7 linked regions of the Macaca mulatta genome follow. The protein of the gene in region 2 purifies or fractionates together with the protein of the main gene of each other region. This does not show direct contact. Links are inferred from orthologs where the notes say so. Each region holds a gene or a part of one and is shown on either strand. Other genes may lie near its edges.

Evidence for each region.
Region 1: the proteins of PHB1 (region 2) and EMC2 purify together in Homo sapiens (affinity purification with mass spectrometry; 3 studies listed by BioGRID and IntAct, with this or other methods). This does not show direct contact. The link is inferred for Macaca mulatta from reciprocal best matches to the Homo sapiens genes PHB1 and EMC2.
Region 3: the proteins of PHB1 (region 2) and NDUFS2 purify together in Homo sapiens (affinity purification with mass spectrometry; 3 studies listed by BioGRID and IntAct, with this or other methods). This does not show direct contact. The link is inferred for Macaca mulatta from reciprocal best matches to the Homo sapiens genes PHB1 and NDUFS2.
Region 4: the proteins of PHB1 (region 2) and RB1 purify together in Homo sapiens (affinity purification with western blotting; 3 studies listed by BioGRID). This does not show direct contact. The link is inferred for Macaca mulatta from reciprocal best matches to the Homo sapiens genes PHB1 and RB1.
Region 5: the proteins of PHB1 (region 2) and SLC25A5 purify together in Homo sapiens (affinity purification with mass spectrometry; 3 studies listed by BioGRID and IntAct, with this or other methods). This does not show direct contact. The link is inferred for Macaca mulatta from reciprocal best matches to the Homo sapiens genes PHB1 and SLC25A5.
Region 6: the proteins of PHB1 (region 2) and STOML2 purify together in Homo sapiens (affinity purification with western blotting; 3 studies listed by BioGRID, with this or other methods). This does not show direct contact. The link is inferred for Macaca mulatta from reciprocal best matches to the Homo sapiens genes PHB1 and STOML2.
Region 7: the proteins of PHB1 (region 2) and VDAC2 purify together in Homo sapiens (affinity purification with mass spectrometry; 4 studies listed by BioGRID, with this or other methods). This does not show direct contact. The link is inferred for Macaca mulatta from reciprocal best matches to the Homo sapiens genes PHB1 and VDAC2.

The regions. Positions count from the first base shown.
Region 1 is NC_133413.1:118,698,778-118,702,865, reverse strand, and holds the start of EMC2 (ER membrane protein complex subunit 2), read right to left. Parts: upstream 2,801-4,088; 5' UTR 2,765-2,800; coding exon 2,725-2,764; intron 1-2,724. UniProt on the Homo sapiens protein: Part of the endoplasmic reticulum membrane protein complex (EMC) that enables the energy-independent insertion into endoplasmic reticulum membranes of newly synthesized membrane proteins.
Region 2 is NC_133421.1:60,600,427-60,603,926, forward strand, and holds part of PHB1 (prohibitin 1), read left to right. Parts: intron 1-1,487; coding exon 1,488-1,583; intron 1,584-3,101; coding exon 3,102-3,314; 3' UTR 3,315-3,500.
Region 3 is NC_133406.1:105,680,624-105,684,579, reverse strand, and holds the start of NDUFS2 (NADH dehydrogenase [ubiquinone] iron-sulfur protein 2, mitochondrial), read left to right. Parts: upstream 1-1,156; 5' UTR 1,157-1,396; coding exon 1,397-1,491; intron 1,492-2,448; coding exon 2,449-2,555; intron 2,556-3,956. UniProt on the Homo sapiens protein: Core subunit of the mitochondrial membrane respiratory chain NADH dehydrogenase (Complex I) which catalyzes electron transfer from NADH through the respiratory chain, using ubiquinone as an electron acceptor. Essential for the catalytic activity of complex I.
Region 4 is NC_133422.1:27,492,411-27,496,471, forward strand, and holds the start of RB1 (retinoblastoma-associated protein), read left to right. Parts: upstream 1-1,261; 5' UTR 1,262-1,404; coding exon 1,405-1,541; intron 1,542-4,061. UniProt on the Homo sapiens protein: Tumor suppressor that is a key regulator of the G1/S transition of the cell cycle. The hypophosphorylated form binds transcription regulators of the E2F family, preventing transcription of E2F-responsive genes.
Region 5 is NC_133426.1:125,937,805-125,941,786, reverse strand, and holds the start of SLC25A5 (ADP/ATP translocase 2), read right to left. Parts: upstream 2,801-3,982; 5' UTR 2,735-2,800; coding exon 2,624-2,734; intron 1,595-2,623; coding exon 1,108-1,594; intron 886-1,107; coding exon 745-885; intron 357-744; coding exon 199-356; 3' UTR 1-198.
Region 6 is NC_133420.1:64,622,061-64,626,263, reverse strand, and holds the start of STOML2 (stomatin-like protein 2, mitochondrial), read right to left. Parts: upstream 2,801-4,203; 5' UTR 2,745-2,800; coding exon 2,700-2,744; intron 2,470-2,699; coding exon 2,332-2,469; intron 1,840-2,331; coding exon 1,740-1,839; intron 1,608-1,739; coding exon 1,549-1,607; intron 1,457-1,548; coding exon 1,355-1,456; intron 1,206-1,354; coding exon 1,071-1,205; intron 925-1,070; coding exon 780-924; intron 658-779; coding exon 578-657; intron 371-577; coding exon 242-370; intron 1-241. UniProt on the Homo sapiens protein: Mitochondrial protein that probably regulates the biogenesis and the activity of mitochondria.
Region 7 is NC_133414.1:74,375,339-74,377,956, forward strand, and holds the end of VDAC2 (non-selective voltage-gated ion channel VDAC2), read right to left. Parts: intron 2,269-2,618; exon of another isoform or gene 2,131-2,268; coding exon 2,073-2,130; exon of another isoform or gene 1,105-2,072; coding exon of another isoform or gene 1,060-1,104; intron 986-1,059; coding exon 894-985; 3' UTR 501-893; downstream 1-500. UniProt on the Homo sapiens protein: Non-selective voltage-gated ion channel that mediates the transport of anions and cations through the mitochondrion outer membrane and plasma membrane.

The sequences.
Region 1 (4,088 bases), on a different chromosome or scaffold from region 2:
ATATTCTCAAGAAACTTGAATATACTCTCCTTACAAGTCTAAATTCTCTTTCCCACCTCCAAATGTCTAATAACTTCCCTACGTAGTAAGTATTAATCACTTTCAACTGGCTGAAGAAACAAACCAAATAGTCTATTAGTAGAGTCTAACACAGATGTGGAAGTGTTAAACTTACTACATAGGTCTTTTATAAACAAATGATAAATTTTCCTATCACAAGAATTATAGCACTCTGAACTAACCAATTCACAACACTGTTCAGTGGAATTCCTAAGGACATACCTCTGACACACACGCCCCCAAAAAATCTGAAAACACTATCCCTGAGAATCTTTCCATCACCCTTCATCCTAAAAATTTGTTATCATAAGTCTCTGAAATAAAAATCTAGAATACTCTTTTCTTAAAAGTCCCTTAAGTTAGAATTTGAATTCTGGAAAGGTCTAAACCTTCACTTTACTAGTGAGCACACGGTATCCTATTACTTAAGCAAGTTGCCTAATTTCATCTAAGATACTGAAATCTTTAAGATACTAAAGAAATTATTTCAACGCTAGAAAAATGGTTTATAATATTTTCTGACAATGTGTTACTGTTTATTATTAATCCCACTAACAATTCATTTAGTCAACAAATAATTACTGAGCTCCGTCCCCATGTGTCAGGCTCTAGGGAAGTGACAGTGAAGAAACAGGCCTGGTCCCTTTCATCTTAGAAGAGACAAAATTTTAAAAACACAATTGGGTAAGTGCTTCAATAGTATGAGAACAGAATATATAATCGAAGGATTACAGGTGTGTTTTGTTGCTTGATTTTGTTGTTTGGGTTTTTTCTTTTTCAATTTTGGTGGGAGATGAGGAAAGGGAATTGGGCAGTAGAGTGTTCAACTAAGGCTTTTTTGTACTAGGTGAGCTTTGTGGGGAATTGATAAAATGATAAAGTTTAATGGGGGCAAGAGTGAGGCAAGGAGGGAAGAACACTCCCAGTGGAAGGACTAGCATGTGCCAGCTTTAAGAAGCAGCATAGCAATTTTGGGCATTCAACAAAGGCCAGCATAGGCAGCTCACAGAGAGAGAGGGAGAATGGCTCGAAATAAAGGTGGAGACACGGACAACGTCCAGATCACAGAGGAGGGACATAATCATATTAGTACTAGCTAATAATAACACCTCCTTTTATATAGTACTTAACAGTTTACGAAACACTTAAAAATGTTTCTCTTTTATTCCTACAAATTTGTGTAGTAATTATTTATTCCAAATCAATTACATCAATCCTCTTTAGAATGACCACAGGGTAAGGTCCAAGTTACTCAGTTAAATCACCTTGTCTGTTGGTAGCATACAGCTACTCGCCCCTCAGGATTTTACAAATGCTACTATCATCTAGGAAAGCTATAATGAACATACCTTCATAATAGCACTTTCTAAAAATTATGTAATATTTAAAACAGTTTTTTAAAAGCATTAAAAATAACAGCCATTTATCTACCATCCAGCTTACGGAAGATACCCTGACACAAGCCTTTCAAAACTGTGTTTATAGGTTTGTTTTCTCCATTAGATTGTGAATTCCTTGGAAGTATGGACTGTGTGTTGATAGATCCAAGATTTTGCACTAAGAAATCAACACTGTTGTTTAATATAATGGAATCCCTCAATTCAGGTATAAATACTGAGATTCACAACGTGCTAGAGGCCGCAAAGCCAACAAATCATTTAATTCAGTTCAAGTATAAAGGAATTTTGCTTTATTTGTAACGGATTTACAACTTTATAATACCTGATACATTTATTCACGATAAAACAGAAAATGTAACTTTCACGTTTTCAGGTCATTATTAAAACATCCCAAGAAGGCATTCGTTGAACAAACTAGCTACTGAAGTCTCCTGTATTATGCTAAATGCTGGAAATATGAATTCCAATTACACAAATTCCACGCCTTAATGAAACTCAAGTTTCTTAAGCACACAGAATTGATCCAAGGTTTGGCTGTTCCCAGATTCAAAGAATATATCCCACTCTAGATCAACTAAGGATAGGGAAAAGTGACCATCACACGTAAGCACGTACGTAGACCAGAGTTAATCAGTTATTTTTCCCTTCAGAAAAAAATCTACTAGTAGGGAGTAAGAAGTTGTGTTGTGTGTGTAAACGTGTTTTGAGATGGAGAGGGACAGAGACTAGACTAAAAGGAAAAGAAACTGGAAATCCAGGTTTAAGGAGAAAACCAAATGTAGAGTGGCATATGAGAATCACATTTGTTCACGCAACTTCTACACAGCTTTTCTGCAAAGAGCTGTAATCCTCACATAGCACTTAGTAAAGGGCCTTAGAGGCCCTGTGTTTCTTGGCTCCAAAGAAGCTTCAGTAACCACCTATTCCGCCTCTTCCGCACCGCCCAGCAACCACGCTTAGAGTGTGACAACCCTAGCCTCAAGTCCCTCCCGCCCGCCTCATAAATAAAAGCGGCCCTGGGCCGCTGGACTGGCGCGGAGGAGGGCAGGTCAACGGATGAGCAGACACCGTGGGAAACGCCGCGGAGTACGCGCCCGGGCCAAGGAAGGGGTCAGCCTCAGCCTCCACCTCAGCTTGGCCCGTCCACTGAGGGCTCTGGTACCAAAAAGAGACCGGCGAATCCAGCTCTCCGAAGGCAGCGGGTACTCCCGAACGGCTTCCCAGCGCTTTTAGTCTTTCCGCACCCGTCCCCACCCGAAGTTACCTTCCCAAGTGACATCGTAAAGCTCTGAGACCTTCGCCATCTTCCCAGAACCTAGAAGCAGCGGGGTGAGAGGGCGGGGAGACGCAGTCACGTGACGCTCCACCGGGCGGTGGAGAGTTACGTTGCTTTTTCTCATTGGCCAAGAGAGCTGTGGGGGCGGTATCTGCCACACACGTGCACGCGGCTCTGCGGAGGGGCTTTCGGGGAAGGGGGCGGAACAAGATGGGCGGAGCGAACTGGACAGTGGGCGGAGCGAGGTGGGCGGTGCGCGGTGCTCCCGGAATCTGAGAATACTCTGGCTGCTGGCAGGGCGACGGTGCTGGCTCGGCTTGAGGGGTAGGGGTATGTGTGTGTGAGTGTTTTGTTGTGTGTGTATGTGCGTGTGTGTTTTGTTTTTGTTTGTGTTTTTTGCCGTGGATTTTTAACAAATGCTGGGTTTTTAGTGTCCGCCAATCCAGGCTTTTCAGTTTTTTTCTACGTAGGCGTGTTCATTCTCTTCACACTCCTTTAAGTACCCTTATTCTCTTCTTGGCCGGCCGCAGTGTAGCCTTCTGCACGAATTCCTTATTTGTCCCCAACTTTCCTCCTTCCCTAATGGGATTTGCTTTCTGTTCACTTTTTAATCGACTAAACGGATAAACTCCAAAGTTTTGAGGGAGTAAGTGGGATTCTTCCTTTGAGCTTTGAAGTTCCCTTGAATGCCCTCGTGCTCGCTTGTACCCTTCTTTAACGCTCCTCGTGCCTGTAATTGCTTCATCCATGTCTGCATGCCACACTAGGTTTGAAACTGTCGCGAGTATGTAAGAATGAGACCTTCACAGTTCCTGAACTTCTCTCCTCATTACTCCTGGGTGTATGGGGCAGCCTCCTTTCCCACCAGACTAATTGCTTTTAGGAAACTTTGAACGTCATCTCCTAGACTTAAGGAGAAGTGTTTGGACAGGAGGCAAAAAATTTGAGGATGATAAGCATATATTTAGTATTTGAAGCAAGGGGGACATGAGATTGTAGAGGAGGAATATGTAAGCTGAGGAAAAACTAAAAATCACTGCAATGCAGCCATGAGTTATGGGTCAATGAAGAAGGGGCATTTGATTTGAGAAGTAGAAATAATCGTATCCCACAAGTCAAAAGAGTGGAGGGGTTTTTTTCTCAGCTTTTTTGAGGTATAATGGACAGAAATTGTGCATATTTAAGGTATACAAAGTAATGATTAGATGTAAATGTACATTGTGAAATGATTACCACAAGCAAGCTAATTAACACATCCGTCACCGTACATATTTCCCGTACGTGTGTGTGTGGTGAGAACACTTAAAAATCTCTCAGCAAACTTCAAAGTGTACAATACAGAATTATCACTA
Region 2 (3,500 bases):
AAAGTGCTTCCTGTTCAGTTCTCCCGTGCATCGCTAGGGAAAGGCACCGCTTCCCCCAGCATCTGTGCAGCTGTTTAAACAGCCACTGGACAACAGCCAGTGTTAACCCCGGGGCACTGCTCCACCTTGCTCCGCCTGCTGGAACCCCCGGGGGCTTGGGGCTCCCTCTGCTGGCAAGAGGCCAGGCTGCAGCCGTTCTGCAGGCCCTCCCCTGGTAATTACCGTGAACCTGAACACCTTGGCTGTGAGAAAACGCTGCGTAAAAACCTAAGGGAAAAGTTGGCATTTTACTAGACTTTAACCACATACTCCATTCTGGGGAAATGTGGGCTGACCACAGGAAACCCTGTCTAAGAGGTGTGAGAAGAAAATTAGGTTTCATGGGGAATTCGCTGCCCTCAGCTGGCCCTTTTAGAAATAAATTTTATTCCTTAATTATACATTTCATTTTTCATTTCTCAGGATCAGATTTTCTTACCCAAACTTTGACTGAGAGACTAGAAATGGATCAGGCGAAGTACGACAGCTGCAGTTAGAGTTCGGAGCTTAAACATTCTGGGAGAGAATGAGACCAGGATTTACTCGTCAGGAGCAGTTCGGGGCTGCTTTTTTAAAAGCAGAGGCTGGGAGAGCGGAGGAAGTGAAACAACTAGAATCTGATGGCAAAACCAATGCTCTCCTCTTGATTCTTTTTCAGTAAAAAGTAGGATGAATAAGTAAATTGCTCTAGGCTGGGCATTAGGAATGCTGAGGTCCCTTCCCATTGTTTGTGCTATGGTTAGGAACAGTCACGTCAGACCTGACATGATTAGGGAAGGTCTATGGATCATCAGACTTCTAAACCCTCAGCCCGACCAATGACTTTACCTGCTTTCTCTTTCTTTTAAACCCTTTAACAGAACCATTCACATTGGGAATAGCATGATTTGCGTTCTACCACCCCTCGTCCTCTTCCTGTTCAGTGGTGGAGCTGCTGTGGGAAGAAGTGGACTGGTTAATCCATAAGCAGAGAGCATCAGGCTCTTGGATCCTTGGGAACCAGCAGCCTCCCTCACTCTCAGGGGCCCCGTTTTGCATCTGGCCTTCCTTGGGCTTTGAACAAGGCATCAAAGGCGCTTGGAAGAGCACTAGTCAGTGGCGGGGGTCTTAGAACCCACAGTTCTCCTCTGGGGAGGTGGTCGATTGAATAGATACCTTCTGGTGCCCATGGGCCCCATCAAAAGCCCCAGGCGCCATTTGCTACATGAGGTCACTCGCTGCACTGAGAGTGACAGAGTAGTGTACAGGAGCAGTTGGGCAGCCAGAGATGCTGGGTGTAAACTCAGTTTGGATACAGATACAGAGATGGAAGAGTGTTCTGGCCTCACAGATGCCTCCAGCTGCTAGAGCCATTGCTGGCCTCTTCCTTCCAGCGGCCGTGGAGGCGTCCCAGCAGTGCTGTCTAAGCAATCACACTGCCTCATCTTGTGCTCACTCTCTCCCCTTAGACACATCTGACCTTCGGGAAGGAGTTCACAGAAGCGGTGGAAGCCAAACAGGTGGCTCAGCAGGAAGCAGAGAGGGCCAGATTTGTGGTGGAAAAGGTGAGCATTCAACCAGATGGCAGGAGCCTCTCTCCCCTTTCTCCTGCACTTAGCTTCCCCATTTGCTGGGTGGCCTGGAAATTCATCATCTGTCATCCCTTCTTCCGGGATAATCGGAAGGGGCTTGAAGGAATTGTACTTCTGCAATTGGTTCCAGAGTCTTCGGGGGCTAGTCAAGGATATGTGGAGTTATGTTCCAAAATCACCGAAGGGTAATTTTTCTTCCACTTCTCTGAGATCAAAAACACTCTCTTACAAATGAAAATGTTTCTCCTGGAGTATTTTCAGCTTCACTGAGAAGTCATTTTTAACCATACTTACATAGTGAAAGCTGACAGCAAAAAAGATCAAACGTTGCACCAGATGTGCTTTCGTCACTGGATTTTTTTCTAGTGCTAAATCCATCCAGATGTGTCAAAGAATGCGATGGGACGCAGTGTATTTGCGTAGCAGCCTGTTCTTTCTGGTATTTGCAAAGACATGTTTATTGTTGTCCCCCTCTTCCCACCACCAGTATCCCTAATTGGTGGGGAGATGGGGGCAGCAAGAAATAAAATGGGAAAAGAGGAATAGATTTAATTTTGGAGAATGAAAACACTGTGTGGGCAGGGACTTGCGTTGCTTTGTATCTTCCATAACTTCAGAGATTATAACAAGTCTAGTATAGTGCCTGGCGATAGTAGGTATACAGTAAATGTTTGTTAAGCAAATAGACGCAGGGCCCAGCCATTTCAAAATTGTATGTAATTTCAGGGAGGCTTAATACTGTCCTCTTCCTCACACTCCTGAAGGTCACACATTTCAGAGAACTGTCTTCCTCTTAATATTGGTAGGGCAGGCCTAGGAGGTCTCACTGTGGGTGCCTGGATTCTGGTCAGGAATCAGCCTAGCCCACAGGCAGCTCTAGGAACAGTCACAAGTGCATGCTGCTCTTCCTTAGCCATCCTGAGGTTTTTTGTTCGTGACAGCGGCTCCCTCTGTGGCCCAGGCTGGAATGCAATGGCATGATCATAGCTCACTGCAGCCTTGACCTCCTGGCTCAAGTGATCCTCCTGCCTCCGCCTCCCAAAGTGCCAGGATTACAGGCATGAGCCACCACACCTGGCCCTGTCCTGGCTTTGATGAAGTCCTTTAGACTTGGGGCTGGAAGGAAAGATGAGCCTTGAGGGTTGATTCCATTTTTCTTTTGCTTCTGTTTTCCTTGGCCTTGGATCCTCCTGGCTCAGAGTAGAGTTGTTAAGCTAGATTGCAATTAATATTAATGAGGACTTTGAAATAAGACAAATATTCATGCAACCAACAGAAATGTATCTCTCCCGTGACGAGTGAGCATGAAAGGGAAGGGGAGGACTGGTGGGCTGTGTGCTCTGCCTCCCCCCACCATCAGGAGGAGGTAAACTCCCCAAGTTCCTACAGGAGCCTGGGAAGGTGGCTTTCTGGTGAAGGGCCTTTGGTTGTAGCCTGACATGCGGTGCCCTGAGGTTTGGTCTTAGTCTGTCTCCACCTCCATTCTTTTAGGCTGAGCAGCAAAAAAAGGCAGCCATCATCTCTGCTGAGGGTGACTCCAAGGCGGCTGAGCTGATTGCCAACTCACTGGCCACTGCAGGGGATGGCCTGATCGAGCTGCGCAAGCTGGAAGCCGCGGAGGACATCGCATACCAGCTCTCACGTTCTCGGAACATCACCTACCTGCCAGCGGGGCAGTCTGTGCTCCTCCAGCTGCCCCAGTGAGGGCCCACCCTGCCTGCACCTCCGCGGGCTGACTGGGCCACAGCCCCGATGATTCTTAACACCGCCTTCCTTCTATCCCCACCCCAGAAATCACTGTGAAATTTCATGATTGGCTTAAAGTGAAGGAAATAAAGGTAAAATCACTTCAGATCTCTAATTAGTCTATCAAATGAAACTTTCATTCTT
Region 3 (3,956 bases), on a different chromosome or scaffold from region 2:
ACTTCTCCCAGGCTGGATCAAGGCAAATAAATGCAATCCTTCCCATCCCCCACCACCATGGCCACATTTGCTGTGTTTCAACAATAGACAGAAAGAAGACCCAGGGAAAGAGCAAGGAATGAGGAGAGCAGAGGGACCAAACCTCTGCCCTGGCTCTGTGGCAGCTCCCTTGTCTAGCCCAGGTCCTGGTCAGTTCCCACAGCCAAGGATCTGGCCCCACCCTTTGGTACAGTTCCCATTAGGTCAATTCCCAGGCCAGAAGTCTGGCTTTCCCCTCTTTCTCTGCAGTGAAGAATTCCTCCGTCTCTGCTTCCTGGTCTGTCTGCCTCACCCTGCTGCGCTGCTGGTGGGCTGTGTCCCAGGGATCCTGTCTAGGGGATATCTGGGGAAGGCGTCTTTCCAGGCTCAGAGTTGGAGAGTTGTACAGACTCTACGGGTGGGTGGCCCAGCTGGAGTTGGGCTTAGAGGCAGAGGGAGAAAACAGGAACTAGCCTCTAAGGCTGGAAAAGTCTTTGTCCATACAGAATTGGGATCACACTCCTGGTGCTACGACATTTCCATGCTGTTGGCCATTACCCAGGAGGGCTATAGCAGGGTCAGAAAGACGTTAGGGAAAAGTGGCTGACGCAGGACGGAAGTGGGGTGTGAGGCATCTCTAAGGGCGCTTCCTGGGTCTATGATTCTGTAGGTTCGGGAAGCCTGGCGGATGTCAGGGTCACCCAGAGGACTCCATTCCCCCATGTGGGATGAGGTGGCTCCTACACACCCCGATACTCCCCTCCGCGCCACCAATGCCGGTGGCCTTGGCAATCCGATTCTTTTTTGTTTTGGTTTGGCGGGAGCTCTCAGACCCGCCCAGCCCCACTTAGGCTCCTTTCTCCAATCTCAATTTAGGACATCTGGAAATTAGCTGGCTTTCCCGACTCCGATCTTTTGGATTCAGTGATGGGAAGGTAATTGGCAAAGCCTGGGGCTACCCTATAAGGGCAGGGCTCAGATACAATCCGAGAGCAGGACTAAAGCGGGAGGCCGGCCAAGGCGGAAGGGAGTAGGGAAAGAAGCGCCGCACGTTTCCGAGATGCGCAAGCGGGCTCGGCGAGAGAGCACGAAGTATTTGCCCCTCGCAGGAACGGCAATTTTCCCTTGCTCGCTCCTAGAAAAGCCAGCCAGGAGCTGTGGGAGGAACCGCCCTCAGTAAAGATGATGGCTGTCACCGTTATCTAAACGCAAGTGAAGCCGAGTCACAGGACCCGGATGTTGTCAGGTCGACGGTAAACGACCCTGCCAGCTTCCAAAAGGGCGGCTTCACTGTGCGAATAGGTGAGAAGCCAACAAGGAGGCGCGCTGGAGTCACTTCCGCCCGGTTCACCTTCCCGCAGTCTGCAGCCGGAGTAAGATGGCGGCGCTGAGGGCTGTTTGCGGCCTCCGGGGCGTCGCGGCCCAGGTCTTGCGGCCTGGGGCTGGAGTCCGACTGCCGATTCAGCCCAGCAGGTGAGATCGAGGGTAGCCCTCGACACACGTTCTCCAAGGGTTTCTCAGGTTGGGGACGCTTTACTCCCCCAGAAAAGAATAACCCAAGACTGTGACCCCATTGTCCATCCCTGACTTCTTGGGCTACAAGATGCGGTGGCGCCCACTCTGGCGAGGGAGGGGAGAGGGTCTAGAGTTCGTTCAGTCCAGAGGTGAAATCAGCGGAGTGGGAGACCCTGCTTTTTAGCTTCCGTAATTTGAATGCACCTCTCCTGTACCTGAGTAAAACTCAGCCAGAGCCAGAATGCGCGCTGTCTCTGTCGTTGACCTTGAATAAACACTTTTCTCACGTTCATGTTCACCTGGTTGATAATATCAATATGATGAAAATATAAAGAAGCTAGGATTCCAACCTTGCATGCCCAGGGGTGATGGGTGAAGTTATTCCAGGAATAATTTGTTAGTAGGAATTGAACCTTTAGAGTTCCAGCTTATTTTGCCGAAGCTACATTAACTTCAGATCAGTGACTTGGCATTTAAAAAATCCAGGACACTGGCCGGGCGCGGTGGCTCACGCCAGTAATCCCAGCACTTTGGGAGGCCTAGGCGGGCAGATCATCTGAGGTCGGGAGTTCGAGACCATCCTGACCAACATGGAGAAACCCCATCTCTACTAAAAATACAAAATTAGCCGGGCTTGGTGGCACATGCCTGTAATCTCAGCTACTTGAGAGGCTGAGGCAGGAGAATCGCCTCCTGAGGCAGGAGAATCGCTTGAACTCGAGAGGCGGAGGTTTCAGTGAGCTGAAATCGCGCCATTGCACTCCAGTCTGGGCAACAAGAGCGAAACTCCGTCTCAAAAACAAAACAAAACAAAAAAACAGGACATCCTTCCTGGGTCCCCTTGAGAGTAAATGGGAACACAGGAACCACACACTGTTCAGGCCCTTTGTCTAGGATTTGTCTTTAACTCCCCAGAGGTGTTCGGCAGTGGCAGCCAGATGTGGAATGGGCACAGCAGTTTGGGGGAGCTGTTATGTACCCAAGCAAAGAAACAGCCCACTGGAAGCCTCCACCTTGGAATGGTGAGTGATCAGAGTTGCTGTCCCAACCCACACCCATCCCTGACCCCAGCTGATTTCCTTTTCTTTTTGTGAGACAGGGTCTCCCTCTGTCTCCCTGGCTGGAGTGCAGTGGTGGGAAAGTGGCTCACTGTAGTCTTGAACTTCTGGGCTCAAGGCAACCTTCTGTCTCAGCCTCCCCAGAAAGCCGCAGCAACAGGCCTGTGCCACCACAACTGGCTAATTTTGAAAGTTTTCCTTTTGTAGAGACAGGGTCTTGCTGTGTTGACCAGGCTGGTTTCAAACTCCTGGCCTCAGGTAATCCTCCCAACTCAGCCTCCCAAAGTGCTGAGATACAGGCTTGAGCCACCATGCCTGGCCTCCAGCTGATTTCTAAGTGCTCTTGAACTCTCTGTCTTAGGCAAGTTTTAGCCCCTATCCTGTTTGTTTCTTTTTTTTTTTTTTTTTTTTTTTTTTTTTGAGACGGAGTCTCGCTCTGCCGCCCAGGCTGGAGTGCAGTGGCCGGATCTCAGCTCACTGCAAGCTCCGCCTCCCGGGTTCACGCCATTCTCCTGCCTCAGCCTCCCAAGTAGCTGGGACTACAGGCGCCCGCCACCGTGCCCGGCTAGTTTTTTGTATTTTTTAGTAGAGACGGGGTTTCACCGTGTTAGCCAGGATGGTCTCGATCTCCTGACCTCGTGATCCGCCCGTCTCGGCCTCCCAAAGTGCTGGGATTACAGGCTTGAGCCACCGCACCCAGCCCTGTTTGTTTCTTTCACGATGAAATTCAAGAGACATAATAGTGATAATAACAGGTATTTGTGAAGTAGAGAAGGAAAGGAAGGATGTTGCAGAAGAAAATAAAGAATGGGTCCCAGTAAATACCCAAAAGTCCTTATCAATGTAAATCTTAATGCCAGCTTTTCCCATGTTCAATACACGTAAGGTTCACTACATTATCTCCCTCTCCAGACAAGGTGGTGGTTTTCCCATTGGTACCCAAATGAAACCTATGTGAATACAAACCATTTTTTTCCTTTCAAAACTAGCTCTTCCTTTTGACTTTTGATTTTGATCATTGGGACCCTCATTCCCCTAATCCCTCAGGATTGAAACTTTTTAGTCATCTTTGGCTGTTTTATCTTGCCCTCCATATCTATGTCCAGTAAGTTACCAAACTATGTAGATTCTTTCATAATGTCTCATATCTGTTCATCTCTCCTTCTTAATTTTCGTTGCCATCATTCTTATTCAGAGTTATCTTGTATTAGACCCTGATTATTTTAGGAGTCTATTTACTGAGTTTTTGCCACTGATGTTGTCCCCTTTCTATATATCCTATACAATGTCATCACCTTCATCTTCCCCAAACATTATTTTACCATGTTATTCATACTCTTGCTCAAAAACCTTCAGACACTTGCA
Region 4 (4,061 bases), on a different chromosome or scaffold from region 2:
TAACAGTGTCTGCCAAAGAGAAGAAAACACGTACTCAAACTAGATAATCTATTGATATAAATACCAAGACATAGAAGTGATACAGCTTTAAGCCAATGTTTGATGGTGGTAGTCCCAGCAAGCTCTTTTCTGATGTCTTTGTGCCTTTGCACATGCTCCTTCTCTGTCACTGTTTTCTTCATCAACATAATGTAATGGACAAGTGGAATCAAACAGAGTTGAGTTCAAATCCTCTGCTACCCATCTGCCCTGGTATTGGACAAATTAATTACCTCCTCTGAGCCTGTTTCCTCATCTGCAAGCTAGACTAGCTAATACTACCCATTTGAAAGGGCTGTTTCTTAGCTACATGCATGCGGGGCTTAACACCTAGATGACGGGTTGATAGGTGCAGCAAACCTCCATGGCATACGTATGTCTATGTAACAAACCTACACGTTCTGCATCTGTATCCTGGAACTTAAAGTTAAAAAAAAAAAAAAAAAAAAGGCTCTTCCTGGGGATTAAATAAGATAATTATGTAAGGTGGCCAGCACAGTTCCTGGTACACAGTAAATGTCAGGCCTGCCTGACAAACTTCTATTCAACAGCTACTGCTCCCCTGAAAATCTTCCTTAGACTTTTCCACGGTGCTTGCCGTTTTTACACCACTATCATCTTTTATTACACTACTATCCGTTCATTCCCCACAGCTCCCTCCCTTCCTTTCCCTAACCAGTGATCCCCCAAAAGGCCAGCAACTGTCTAACATTTTGTATCTTCTAGTGACTGGTAAAGTTCAGCATCTACTAGCGCTCCAAGTTTCTTTTTGTTTTGGCCGAGTTTGCAAAACGGATTAAGCGGGATGAGAGGGCGGGCGCCGCCCAGAGAAGGAGAGCGGCGCGCCCGCCGAGGGTGCACTAGCCAGATACTACCTGCGGGGCCCGAGCGTCTTCCCTATCAGACCCCGGGATAGGGATACGGCCCACAGTCACCCGCCAGACTCTTTGTATAGCCCAGTTAAGGGCAGCTCGGCTTGGAGGGGGTGGTTCCGGGTAGAAACACGTCCGGGCTGCGCCGGATGCTTCTGGGAAGGCTCCTGGACCCACGCCAGGTTTCCCAGTTTATCCCTTCCCATCTAGCGTCCCAGCCCGCGCACCGACCAGCGCCCCAGTTCCCCACAAACGCCGGCGGGCCCGGGAGCCTCGCGGACGTGACGCCGCGGGCGGAAGTGACGTTTTCCCGCGGTTGGACGCGGCGCTCAGTTGCCGGGCGGGGGACTGCGCGTCCGGTTTTTCTCAGGGGACGTTGAAATTATTTTTGTAACGGGAGTCAGGAGAGGACGGGGCGTGCCCCGACGTGCGCGCGCTGCGCCCTCCCCGGCTCTCCTCCACAGCTCGCTGGCTCCCGCCTCGGTAAGGCGTCATGCCGCCCAAAACCCCCCGAAAAACGGCCGCCGCCGCCGCCGCCGCTGCCGCGGAACCCCCGGCACCGCCGCCGCCACCCCCTCCTGAGGAGGACCCAGAGCAGGACAGCGGTCCGGAGGACCTGCCTCTGGTCAGGTGAGCGAGCAGAGCCGCCGCCGCCTCACGCGGGAAGGGCGCCCCGTGTGCGTAGGGCTGGCGCCAAGGCTGCTCGGCGGGACGCGTCCTCGCCGGGGGCCGAGTCCCGGCGTGAGGAGACGCCCTCCCTGCCCCCCGCCACCGCGGAGCGTCTGCAGAATGGTGACAGGATTTTGGGGTTGCGGGCGAGGGGTCTTGGCTTTAACTTGACACGTGTCGGGCGGGTGGGTCTAGGGTCCTGAACGAAGTGACAGGTGCAGTTCCCTCTTGTGAGGCTCAGAGGCAGAGGGTCGTTGCGAGCGTCCATCAGACGCAAAAAAATGAAAAATAAAAATACAAAAATGGTGTCTGTGGGAGAGTTCTTCACCGGTTGAGAACTGGAGTACTCCGGTGGTCGTCTGACTTTCAGTTTTGGTCTCACGCGATGCAACAGTTGGGAAGTATTTTCTTCTGGGCGTGCACTGCATCTGAACTCCATTCGTGGGAGAGGCCAACCAGAAAGCCTTGGACAAGAAGCACAGGGTCCTGAGTGTCCATTGCCTGCAGGATACTCGGCTCAGGAGCCTTGCGGCTTCTCCTTAGAACAATAATGCATCGAGGCCTTGGGGACTCAAAGCCATCTGTAGTGATTGATGGAATGTAACTCTTTAGAGGAACTGATACATGGGCAGAACTTTCGTGAGACGTTTACCAGAAGTGCTTGAAAGTTTCTAAACTTTTTTTTTTCTGTTGGATGAACTCTTCTTGCGTGTTAGTCGGCCTCAGCTTGTCTCATTATTACTTCCATTTTGCCTTTTGACTTTGAACCAGCAACGATCCTGGTGTCCCGTCTTTTTGCCTTTGTTTTTGGCACAAAATTAGTGGTTCTGTGCTCAAATGGAAATTTTCGTTTTCCCTTATTAAATGGAATCTAAATTTAAGCAAGTCCATGCGAATGCACTAGAACTTGAAGGGAAGTATTTATTGTATTGCATCATCTTACTTTTCTTGATTGTACTACTTTATGGTTAAATAGCTATGACTGAAAGAGTGTAATTGTCATTATTATTGTCAGCACTGGTTCTACTTTGAGATTACAAGTTCATTGCAGGGGGAATGGGACTTGTTTCTGTTTTTCACTATTTTCTCCCCTATTCTTGCCCATCACCAAATCCTTTCACCCTCACCCATTTCTTTCCACTCGGCAGACACTAACAGAATTAACGGCAGAAAAGATTGAAGTGGGATTTAGGAAATGGCCCGTGGAAGGCTATTAAAAATTTATATATTTAAATGGACTGTCTTATAGGTCAGTTAAAAACCATATTTGTTAAAAAACCAAAACAACAACAACAACAAAAAAATTAAAAACCACGTCTGGGGCATGTTCTGGGAAAAGACATGACTTTAGTTTCTGATTAAATTCTGATGTATCCAATTCTTGCAAATTTCCCTTTGGAAAATGCAGTAATGGCTACTCTAAAGAATTCCATGTTATGCACACAGCTTTAGAAGCATACTCTAATGTAGGGTAACCAGGAATATTGACGTTCTGACCACTGCTTGGAAAAAAGAGGACTGTTTCTTTCATTTTTTAACTCATTATTTTATATATTTTAAGTAATGGAACTATAAAAAAATTCTCTTATAAGTCAGATCCATACAAGATACAGTCTGTTCTTGATTATCCTTACCCACAAAGGGTTTCATTAACATAGACAATTGAACTCTATAAATTAACCAGCAAGGGTAGAACCACTGCCGTGCAGTCTGATGCTGAGCATCTTGCCTGGAGATGGAATCAGGGCTCAGTCCAACTGCACTTCCAGTGACAGATTCCATTCCTAATTTGAGAGTTGAGATCTTATTTCTGTTGCCTTATCTCTGGCCTAAGTAATGTAGCTGGAAGGGAAAGTGTCACTAGGAACAGCATACAACATTCATTGTTGAAATAATCAAAGGTTAATCATGTTTCGAGCTGGGCATGACGGCATGTACCTGTAGTCCATGCTACTCAGGAGGCTGAGGCAGGAGGATTGCTTGAGCTTGGGAGTTGGAGGCCAGCCTGGGCAACAAAGCAAGACCCCAGTCTTTAAAAAAACAAACAAAAAAGTTGACCAGGCATGTTGGCTCACGCCTGTAATGCCAGCACTTTGGGAGGCTAAGGTGGGAAGATCGCTTGAGGCCAGGAGTTTGAGAGGAGCCTGGGCAGCAAAACAAGACACTGTCTCTACAAAAAAATTTAAAAAAAAATTATCCAGTCGCTGTGGCACGCCTGTAAGCACATCTACTTAGGAGGCTGAGGTGGGAGGATCCCTTGAGCCCAGGAGTTTGAGGCTGCAGTCAGCCATGATTTCACCACTGCACCCCAGCCTGGATGACAGAGTGAAACCCTATTTCAAAACAAGAAAAAAAAAAAACAACGAATTATGTTTTGAAGGAGGAATTGGCAATCTAGAATAGTGGTCAAGGGCATGGATTATAGAGTTAGATTGTTAGGCTCACATGGTGGTTTACCTCTTACCGGCTGAGACCTCAGGT
Region 5 (3,982 bases), on a different chromosome or scaffold from region 2:
AAATACAATTGAGTCCCATCATCATCATGGAAATGGCTTTAAGAGAAAACTGGTCAGATGAATATTATTGCTTCCCATTTTCAACCAGTAAATAGTTGCCACTGAGAAACTGACAGCCAGGAGTCTGTCAAGAATGTTCAAGATATGTTATATAATACAACATGCCTGTTCACAGGGGGAAAAATCCTAGGAAATAACTTATGTGTACTTCTTGATTTCATCATACAAGACAAGCACAAAAGCACCACCCATGCCCCTGAGAACATTGGACCATGCACCCTTGAAAAAAGCTTTGCCTCCTTCATCACGAGCTATCTTCCTCCAGCAGTCAAGCGTGCCTGTGTACATGATGTCAGCTGCAAAGAATAAAGACAGAGTTGGTGACTGAAGGCCGATGAAAAATCCTAAGATTCACTAGGCTAAATAAAGCAGAGCCCTACCTCTAAGAACATCAGCTTTAAACCCAACATTCACACATTAGCATGGGCAACACTGAAATATTAATGCTGTGACCACAGGAATACACAGACTACCCACTGGTCTTAATCTCTAATACCAGTTAAGCACCCTCATTCATAGGCATCTGAAGGGCCGGATCAAAGGCAGCTGTGGAATAGACACAGATGCTATCAACCCCATCCCTTGACTTGGACAGCCAGCCATTTCTAAAGGTGGGCATCACTAGTTTGTGGCCGCAGCTTGCCCCACGCCTACAATTTTATCTTCTGCTCAAGGGGAACTTACTTCCTTTGCGCCCTGACTGCATCATCATGCGGCGGCGAACAGTATCAAATGGATAGGAAGTCAACCCAGCAACAGCAGTGACAGTCTGTGCGATCATCCAGCTGATGACGATGTGAGTGTTTTTGGGATCCGGAAGCATTCCTGGGAATAGGAAAGAGATGCTTTTACCAAAAAGTAGAGTTTTACTGACTTCCTTTCCCCACATCCCCTAAACATGTCATCTGTGCATGAGGGTCGCACTGGATGATCTTGGCTTCCTTCAGCAATTAAAAAAACTCTCTAGCTCTTGGAATGTTAGGTTGGTACAACGCTCTTTTAAATTGTCTCCTAAGAACACAACTTTAAAGCCCACAGCAAACTTACCCTTTGCAGTGTCATAGATACCGAAGTAGGCGGCTCGGTAGATGATAATACCCTGCACAGACACGTTAAAGCCTTGGTACAGGCCCTTAATCCCATCAGATTTGTAGATCTTAACCAGGCAGTCACCGAGGCCTCGGAATTCCCTTTCAGCTCCAGCTTTACCCACATCAGCTGCTAGACGGGTACGGGCAAAATCAAGAGGGTACACAAAACACAGGGATGTGGCCCCTGCGGCACCACCTGATGCCAGATTCCCTGCAAAGTAGCGCCAAAACTGGGTCCTCTTGTCCACACCACCTAGGAAGATCTGCTTGTATTTATCTTTGAAGGCGAAGTTAAGAGCCTGGGTGGGGAAGTATCTGATGACATTGGCCAGGTTACCGCGCCAGAAGGACAGAACTCCCTGCTCCTTGGGAATACGGACCACGCAGTCTATAATGCCTTTGTATTGCTTATCTGCAGTGATCTGCTTGCTGGCATGCTGCACCTAACAGACAGGAAGAAGCCAACAGGGACAGTTATAACCATGCGGAAGGGAAAGAGAAGGGCATATGCCATATGGATCAATACCCTTTAAGGCTGGCTCCCCTCTCCCAAATCTAGTCTTCGTATATCATACTGGCTGGAGCCTCCCAACCATATGAGGCTGTCACAGGGGAAGAGGTGATCGGCACCAGAGGTATTAAGCCTCCACCCCTCTGAGTGGGGAGGGGGCATCCTCCAGCGGACTCGTGACCTTTAAACCTGAGATAAAGGTCATTACCTCAAACCCAGGTTCAGAGGCATTAGGGCGAGTCCCACATAGGGCGCGGTCACCTTGGGGACCGCAGCCTACGCCTCCGGTCTCCTGAGCTGCTTCCGTCTCGCTCCGCCCCCACTCCGCTTCCAGAGGTGACCCGAGCGCCGCCGCCGGCACCCCTACACGCTCGCCCAGGGGCGCCCTCTAGAGCCAGCACTGGAGAGCGCGCGGCGCAGGGAGGCAGGCGGAGGGGACACGGCGGCCGCGGCTGCGCGGAGGCGGACGTAAAAGGAACACGCGCTTCCCGGCGCCGGCTTCCGGCCCGGCGAGGTTTGAGCGCGTCCGCGGGCTGGGAGGCCGCCGGACCCGGGCGCATGGCCTTCCCCGGGCAGTTATCTCCTTGCCGCGACCTTGAGGTCTTCGTTAAGAACTGGCGTTCCTCTTTCTAACGCCGGCTTTCGGCCTTCGCCCTTGACGCCCAGGCCCGGGGAGGCCGTCACTCAGGGACTGCTCCATCCGAGTCGGCCGCCTCGGGGATGCCGAGAGCCTGGTCCTGCTCTCCGCCCCTGGCCCCTTTCTAGACTCACAACTTCAGGTCACTAAAGGCGCCTCCCACCAGTTTGCCTTCTGCTCTGCCTCTGCGCCCGGCTCTGGCCTCTCCTAGCCGCTTCCCTGGCCATGTCTTTGGAGTTCGCTCCCCGCCACCCCTCGGGCGCCCGCCTTCTGTGCGACCCTCCCCCCCACTTCCTGGTTGGGCTCCTGGATCCCAGGACGTACCTGCAGCAGCAGCTTGACCCGCTCGATAGGCGCTACCGCCGTCTTGGAGATGGCTGCGGCCACTCCACCTGCCAGGAAGTCCTTGGCGAAGGACACAGCGGCATCTGTCATGTTGAAAGGAAAGAGGCGGCAGGCTGCTGCGGGACGGGACTGGGCCGGGAACCGGCTTTGACTCCGGCGCTGCGGGGCGGAGCGAAGCAAATGGCCGATTTATATAGGGGGAGCCGGCGCCGGAGCGGCAGGCGTCGGAGGCGGGGCCGGGGCGGGGTCTGGGCCCCGGCGCGCTGGGCGGCAGAGCAGCTGAGTGGCCCAGCGCGCAGGGGGAGGAGTCGTGGAGGGCTGGCCGGGACCGCTCTCCGCGCCGCCCGGGCTCGCCCTCGGCACCTGACCCGGCAGGAGGAAGGGGCGGGTCCAGAGGACACCCGGGACTTGAACGCTGAACCCTGACAGAGGCCTCGGAGTGGGTAGGAACGGTGAGGTCACGGTGTGCCTGGACAAAAACCCTTGGAGCAGAACTAGGGTGAGACGCATTTGTTACAGGGATGCCAAAAGAACCCTTCAGTCATCGAGATAAACGATACTTTAAAAAAGTCGTATGGGCAAACATCCTGCTGGCCGGCCCCCTTGTTTTGTAAATAAAGTTTAATTGAAGTGTCAAGGCTGAATTCAGGGTGAGGCAAGCGAGACAAAGTCATGCAAGTGCAGGTTGGGATCCTGTCTGTATTTCAAATGCTGATCATTTGTTCATCATGAATTTTTGCATTGCTTTTGATTTTTTTTTAAATAGTGCATTAAAAATCATTTGTCTTAATTACTGAGTTGTGTTTCACCAAGGTGAGTGCCTCACTCTTCCCACCCTAGGCCGGGCACTGTCCTGGAGCCAGTGAAACCAGACGAAATTAAGGGAACAACAGACGAAGGAACTGCCACCGTGCCCCAGACCCTGGTTTGCAAATACAGTTCAACAAAGACCTTGCCAGGAATTGGCTTGGGAGAGTCCAAAGGACTGGGCTGGGGGTGGGGAAATGATTTTAGCCAGAAGGTAAATATAGAGGTTGTACCCAGAAGGTTAAGAGGCTTAGGAAGGTTAAGAACTACGTTGACATTTGGCTTCCAGGACCCCAGGTAAAGTGCCCTTGGATCGAATAGATTTCTGAACTCCAGAAACATTTAGAGGAATCAGTAGAATTAGATTGGCAGCCATTGCGCCAATGGACAAGTGCTTACTGAGCCCCTTAATCCCTTCACTGGGTAAGCATTTGCCACACATGTCCTCAAAAACCTACTTGTTCGCTTAAGTGGACTCCCTCAGGTTCAGAACAGGAGCAGAGAGTGTAATCACAAATTCCGTGTCTGAAT
Region 6 (4,203 bases), on a different chromosome or scaffold from region 2:
GTGACTCTCAGAATACCAGCACAGGTATCTACCAAAAAAAGGTATCTCAAGAACTTCCATATTTGCAGGACTGAGTGGAGATGTTTCATTCTTAGATTCCATCTCTACAAAGAATGAAGGGATGTCTAGGGCCAAGGCATTCTGAAGACCTTTATGGTATCTAAGTGTTGATGACGGTGGTGGGGTCTCAGTTCGGTCCCTGGCACAGGTGCTCTGTGCTGGGTCCTCAGAGAGCTCTAACCTGAGCCACCATGCTGGTGACATCGCCGGGATTGGAGGGCAGTAGGATAGTGTTGGAGTCCTTGGCCAGTTTGGAGAACGCGCTGACATACTGCTCGGCCACAGTCAGTGAAGCTGCTGCATCTCCATTCTGTGACCACAGGGGGATAAAAATCAGAGATTATAGATACGGAGAAGAAGGGGTGGATGGGGAATGAAGAAAGCAGTTCACAATAAAAAGGACTATGTAATCTGGTTCAACAGAGCCCACAGAGGCAGGAACTCTCCTTAAGCATAGATAAGAGAACCCCTTCCACTGTCAATTCCTGTCCCCCATTCCCACCCAGGGGCCTCTCACATGTTGTGTCAGAGCTGCAGCCAGGATTCGAATAGCTTCAGCTTTAGCCTTGGCCTTGGCTAGAACTGCACTGGCCTCTCCTGCAAGAGAAGGGACAGAGCTTGCTTGACCCATGAAGTCAAAGTACCCAAAGATTCTGCCCCAGCACCAATCTTCAAAGGCCCATGCCTTGCTCCTCCCTCAGCCTCTACCCTCTCCTGACCTGCTGCCTGATTTATCTGTTCAGCCTTTTCTGCTTCGGAGGCCAGGATCTGGGCCTGTTTCTTCCCCTCTGCCACATTGATGGCCGACTCTCGGGTCCCCTCAGACTCTAGAACTGTGGCCCGTTTCCGCCGCTCTGCCTCCACCTGGAAGCCCGCAACAATCCCAATCAACAAGCCAAGGGAAAGTTATACAGACCTGCAACTCTACCCATCATAACAGGAGGGAAGTCTGGATCCTCCTGGGACTGGAGCACCCTGAGGTCCTTTTCCTACCCCTCCTTGGCTCCCACCTGCATCTGCATAGACTCTTTCACCCGGGGTGGCACATGGATATCCTTGATCTCATAACGGAGGCAGCGGATACCCCAGCAGTCAGCAGCTTGGTTGATAGCATCCACAATGCTGGCATTCAGGGACTCCCGTTCCTGGAAAAAGAGAGGCATAAGCCCCACAGCTTCAACTTACCTATCAAGGGCCTACACTGAGAAGGGCCTGGGACTGATCTTGACCTTCAGAAAAGATTGAGTGTCAGGTTTGTGTCTTCAAACCCTAACTCTGGCTCAGATCTGCTTACCCGGAAGACTTTGTCCAGAGAGAGTTTGCCGAGCTCTGATCTCATGGTTGTTTGAGCTAGCTGGGTGACGGCATACTCAGGGTCCTCCACACCATAGCTTGCCTGAAACGGACACGGATAGTGTAAGAAGCTTGGGCACAAGATTTTAGTGAAGAGGGCAACTGAAAAGGCTAGATAAAGTAGGGGGCAGATACCTTGTAAGGGTCCATGATGCGCAGGTAAAGGACTCCATCAATTTGCAGAGTTACATTGTCTGTAGAACCAGGAGAGAAAAGGAGGAAAGTCAGGCCTCTAGGTCCCAACCAGTTCTCTCTCCTAAGCTGTGGATCTACAGCAACCACATCCTAATAGCCTCAGAGCACCCATGTCACCCTGAACCCCTCACCGAGAGTCACAGCCGACTGCTCAGGCACGTTGATGACAATTTCCTTGAGACTCTGCACATATCGGATCCGGTCTAACACAGGGATGAGGATGTTCAAACCCTGGGAAGAGGAGTCATGGGTCCTCAGAAGGATGGGAACTATTGGGTTGAGACCTAAGCTAGTCCTGGAGTATGTATGGAGTCAACACATGGAACATGCCCAGAAAAGCAGCAGCTGCTACCAAGAAATAAGTCCTCATAAGGCTGAAGTGTCACTGGTAAGAAAACCCAAGAGAATAGGAATGCAAGACTAGGCCCCTGAATGGAAGGGAGAGTCATGAGAATCGGAGCTGGCAGAATAGCCATCTCAATGCAGACTGAGAGGTAGGGCTGAGAGAGTGGGCAGAGGAGATTCCCAAGAATGGGGACTGTGAGATGCATAGGAAAAGGTGGTAACATGGGGATGATGGTCAGCAGCCTCAGCCCTGTCAGGTCTGGCCTACAGAGTCGGGAGCTAACAGTGCGGGCAGGCCCAAAAGAGGTCCTCCCGACACTCCATGTCGTGAGGGATTGGTCATCTGGCTGGCCCAGGATGGGCAGAAGAGGTTCTCACAGGCTCCAGGATCCGGTGGAATCGGCCCATTCGCTCCACCACCCAGGCCTCCTGCTGCGGCACGAACAGTACCACGGTGTTTCGGGGCAATCCAGAGGAGGCGCGGCGCGGAGCGCGACCAGAAGCCTGCAGGGAGCCCTGAAAGAAAGAAGAGGGTGAGCAGAGATCCCATCTGGCCAAACACGCCGCCCCTCGGTCCTGAAGGTATCTCCATAAACCACGACCCTCAGGATCCTCGGAGAGAGAATCACATGGGGACCATGACCTCTGACCCCAGTCCTCTCCGAAAGTTGGAAGTTCGCTCTTTCCCAGCGGAGGACCCAGGTGATCTCTGTCCCGACCCTCTGGATAGGTTGCCTCGCTCTCACCCTCAGCAAAAGGGCCCCAGTGCCCCGCGCCGCGCGCGCCAGCATTTCCCACCGCCGCAGCGACCTCCGGAACCAACGAGACGAGCGGAGCGGTAGCTCCCAGAAGCCTACCCGAGCCTTTCCTCTTGCAGTTCCGCTCCCCCGAATGTACTTCCGGCCGTTCCCTACTCCCTTCAACACTCACCCAATCAGCGTTACTTGGTCGAACGGCGCATCAAGTTGTTCCCTGGGAAACGCAGACCTTCAAGAGAAGGCCGAAGGCTGCCGTTGTTCTGGGTTTAGCTGTTCGCGACCAAGATCCCCGGCCTGATGGCCAAATTATTTTTCGCGTGCATATCACTCAGACACCACGCACTGAATTCTTCACCCTCACCCGAGACTCAGTTTGCCCACCAGAGCGTAGAATCGCGCCCATCCGTCACCATAGCGACGAGTGGATTGAGCTGACTCGTTGCCATGGTTGCCATAGTGACATTCTATAGTAGTCCCGCGGTGTTGTGCCCAGGACTCCCACTGGGGACTGACCCCAATCCCGTTGCCATGGAAACTGGGCCTAACATTGCCTGGCGATTGGGACGAGATTTTCCCCTCCCCTCTTTCCTCAAAGACACTACAGCTCCTTCCCTCTCTTTCCAAGCAAGGTTTGTTATGCCCGGTCTTAAATACCGAGTCCGGCAAACAGCCTCAACGTTCAACCTTGTCTGGAGCACGTCACCTTGCACACATCCCTGATGTTCTGGTAGTCAAGAGACCTCCGTAGTCACCTCCATTTTACATATGAGGGCACTGAAGTTCTGAAGGGCTAAAGTCATTAACAGAACCAGTATCAGAATCCTGATCTACAATTCAGAATTCAGCTTCTAGGACTCAACTTTACCCACCAACCCCTCTGAAAGGAGCAAGACCAGGCCCCAGGAATCAGCAGGGACTAGCCTAAGACCTCATGGGCCCAGGCCTGTTGCCTCCTCTCTGGTAGAAAGGGCTGAGTCCCAGCTCCAGGAAGGCCCTCTATCCCCCTTCGCACCCTCTCCCCAACAACAACAACAACAAAAGTAGAGCTTAGTTCAAGTTTCCAAACAAGAATTTATTCTTTCTTTTTTAATCTTTTTTTTTTCTAAAAAAAAGTACCAGGTACAATTTTTTCCTGTTTCTGATTTGCTTTGTTTTTTCAAGTTTCAGCAAATGCTTGTTCCCCTCAGCCCAGCCTCAGGAGTCAGGACTGAGGCTGGGTCAGAGTCTGGAGTGGGGAATGGGGTAGTTTGGAACCACATGACTGAGTTTGAGGGGTGCCCCTCACCCCAGCTGAGGTAGGTGGGTCAGAGTCTGGCCAGGTGAGTGGAGGCACCCCAGTGCTTGGCCCTGACTCTGCCCCCTGGACACCTTCTTCAGTCAGGACCCCAAAGCAAGGAGACACAGGCAGGAGGAGAGGGACAACTGGAGTCTGGAGCCCTAGGTGAGGGGTGGTTAACCCCTGTGTGTGTGCATACATGTACACTCTCTCACA
Region 7 (2,618 bases), on a different chromosome or scaffold from region 2:
CTTTCAATGTCTGCCTAGAAGGAAATGAGTAATGATCTCTCAGAGTCCCACAGGTTACCCTTACTGTCTACAACTTACTCTTCTGTACGCCTAACACCATCGCACCAAACCAGGGCCTACTTTATTTTCCTAGCAGTAGCTCACAGGGGTATGGTGTGTTTGTGTATCTTTTCAGCACCTTCTTTTTCCTTTCAGTTATGCAGGGCAATTCTGCACAGACTTACAAACTGAAGAGTATAAAAGCATGTATCCTCTTACTGTAGTCTTAAAAAGCTCGTGGAATTATTCTAGGGACACAGAAGATTCTGTGGCACAGATTTAAGTAAAGAGCAAAATACTCACTGGAAAAATTAAATACTGGCTAGCTACCACGGAGATTTGACCCTAGCTGGCAAACATGGAACTCTGCAAATACTTGGAGCCATTAATTATGTATACTTGTTTTATTCATAATTTGTCATGTTCTGGGATACCAAAAGTAATAATGGCTGAACTTAACAAAATTTTTAACCTCATCTCAATATCCACTGATCCATCTCATTCAATGGTAATAGTCAATGTTTTCTAAAGGAACATAAAAACAAACATGCACACAATTGCACAGTTTTCATAAAGGTCTATTTCATTATTGGTGGGTAGCGCATTTAACAGTTAAATACATTTAAATAATGTATAGGTGACTGCAGGACTGCAGCATTGGTAACTAGATAACCAATTCAACTAGAAACCAGCTAACAAGGAACTGTCTAAATACTTAAAATACAGCTCTTGTTGAGATCATTCTTTGTTTTGATCATCTTCTTGGGGGAAAAAAAGCCTGCTGCTGGTCACAATGGAAATATATTAAGGCCAAATCTTCTGATATCCATTCCCAAAGGTATCTTTCAGCTGGATTAAGCCTCCAACTCCAGGGCGAGCCCAAGCTTGTGACCTCCAGCATTAATGCTCTTTCCGTCTACCAGAGCAGAGAGTGTAAGCTTCACACCTATTAAGACAAACACAAAAACAAAACACTGTGATGTACCTGGCACTTCACTCAGTCTGAGCCTTCTTTCACAGTCATCCCCAGAAGCCTGCCTGTCACTTCCTCAGCCTGTCAGCTGACCTACTAGTGCTGGCCACCAGAGGGCGCTTGGAAGTATCTGAGACACCAGAAGGACTGGGTTACCATTCTAGGTAAGGCACCAAGTCACAGAGAAATGTTTTAATAACAAGTTCAAAGTGCTCTAGAATATACAATAATGTTGAGTATACTATCCAGATGAAGAGAGACTAGAGACATAATCATAATTAGATCCTAGAAAGGGAAACCTACAATAAAGACACATTTGGGGACGGGGTAAATCTGAATATATATTTGGTATTACATTAATGTTAGTTTTCTTAGATGCGATAATGGTATTGTGCTTATAAAGAAAAATGTCTTACTCTTAGGATACACATGCTAGGAGCTGCCGTGTCTGTATGTCTGCAAAACATACAGTTTTTTAAAAAAAGTATGTGAAGTTTCAGAGACATAAATGCTGTAAATTTTAATAACTGGTCAACATAGGGTAAGGGTATATGATGTTCACTGTACCATTCTTCCAACTTTTCTTTAGGTTTCAAAATCGCCAAAATAAACTTTGGGAAGGAAAATCCCTATTTGGAGGGGGGAAAGTCCCCAGTACTTTAACCAGACTCCAAGATGAGTCATGTGCATTGTGAAGTTGGAGAAATGCTGCTCTAGACACAGCATGCTTCAAAATATTATATAAAGTCAACAAGACTATAGACAGAACCAAAGCAATGAGTGAACTTTTATCAACAAAATAAAAATTACTTTTATTTTAGAGAGAGAGAGAGAGAAAGAAAGAGAAAGGAAGGAAGGAACGGAGGGAGGGAAAGAAAGAAAGGAAAAGAAACAAAAAGAAAGGAAGGAAAGAAAGAGAGTTGTGGCAAAAGGTAAACATGTATTTATTGTACTCTTCTTTCAACTCTTCTGTGTGCTTGAAAGGTCTGAAAAATAAGCTGAAGAATGAAAACTAATTTTTTTAATATCAAAACAATCCTACTTTATCAAGAATACTTACCAGGCCTCAGAGTCTGAGTGTAGCCTACTCCAATTAAGCTAGAGTTGTTGACTTTTGCCTAAAATAAAATTCAAAAACAACTGTAAGAAAAATATTTCAGTAGGGACAAAGCCCCCTACATGTTTCCCCATCATGTAGTCGTGAAGTGTTCAGTTTTATTCACGAGACAATAAAATTCATTATGTATTAAGCCAAACAGAAATCAGGTACTACTTAATTCATATCCATTCAACTCAAAAATCAAATTGTCAGTAGGACACGATACTCCTGATAGCCACTGGAATGTATCCAAAGACCCCAAACTGTCCGTACAGCACAAGAGCCTAAGCACTCTCATAAAAATCATCTTTGTCGATTCTAGTCTAGCACAACAAAACCAGACCAAATGTGGTACAAATCAGGCTCACTAGAGGTGACACACAGCAGCCTTAAAGTGCAGGGTATCAAGTTTAAATTCATGACTTAGTTACACACATGTAAACTTTCCTACTTTCAGGACTCTTCCTAAAGAACCAAAACCATCAATGTTAAAAAAAAAAAAAAAAT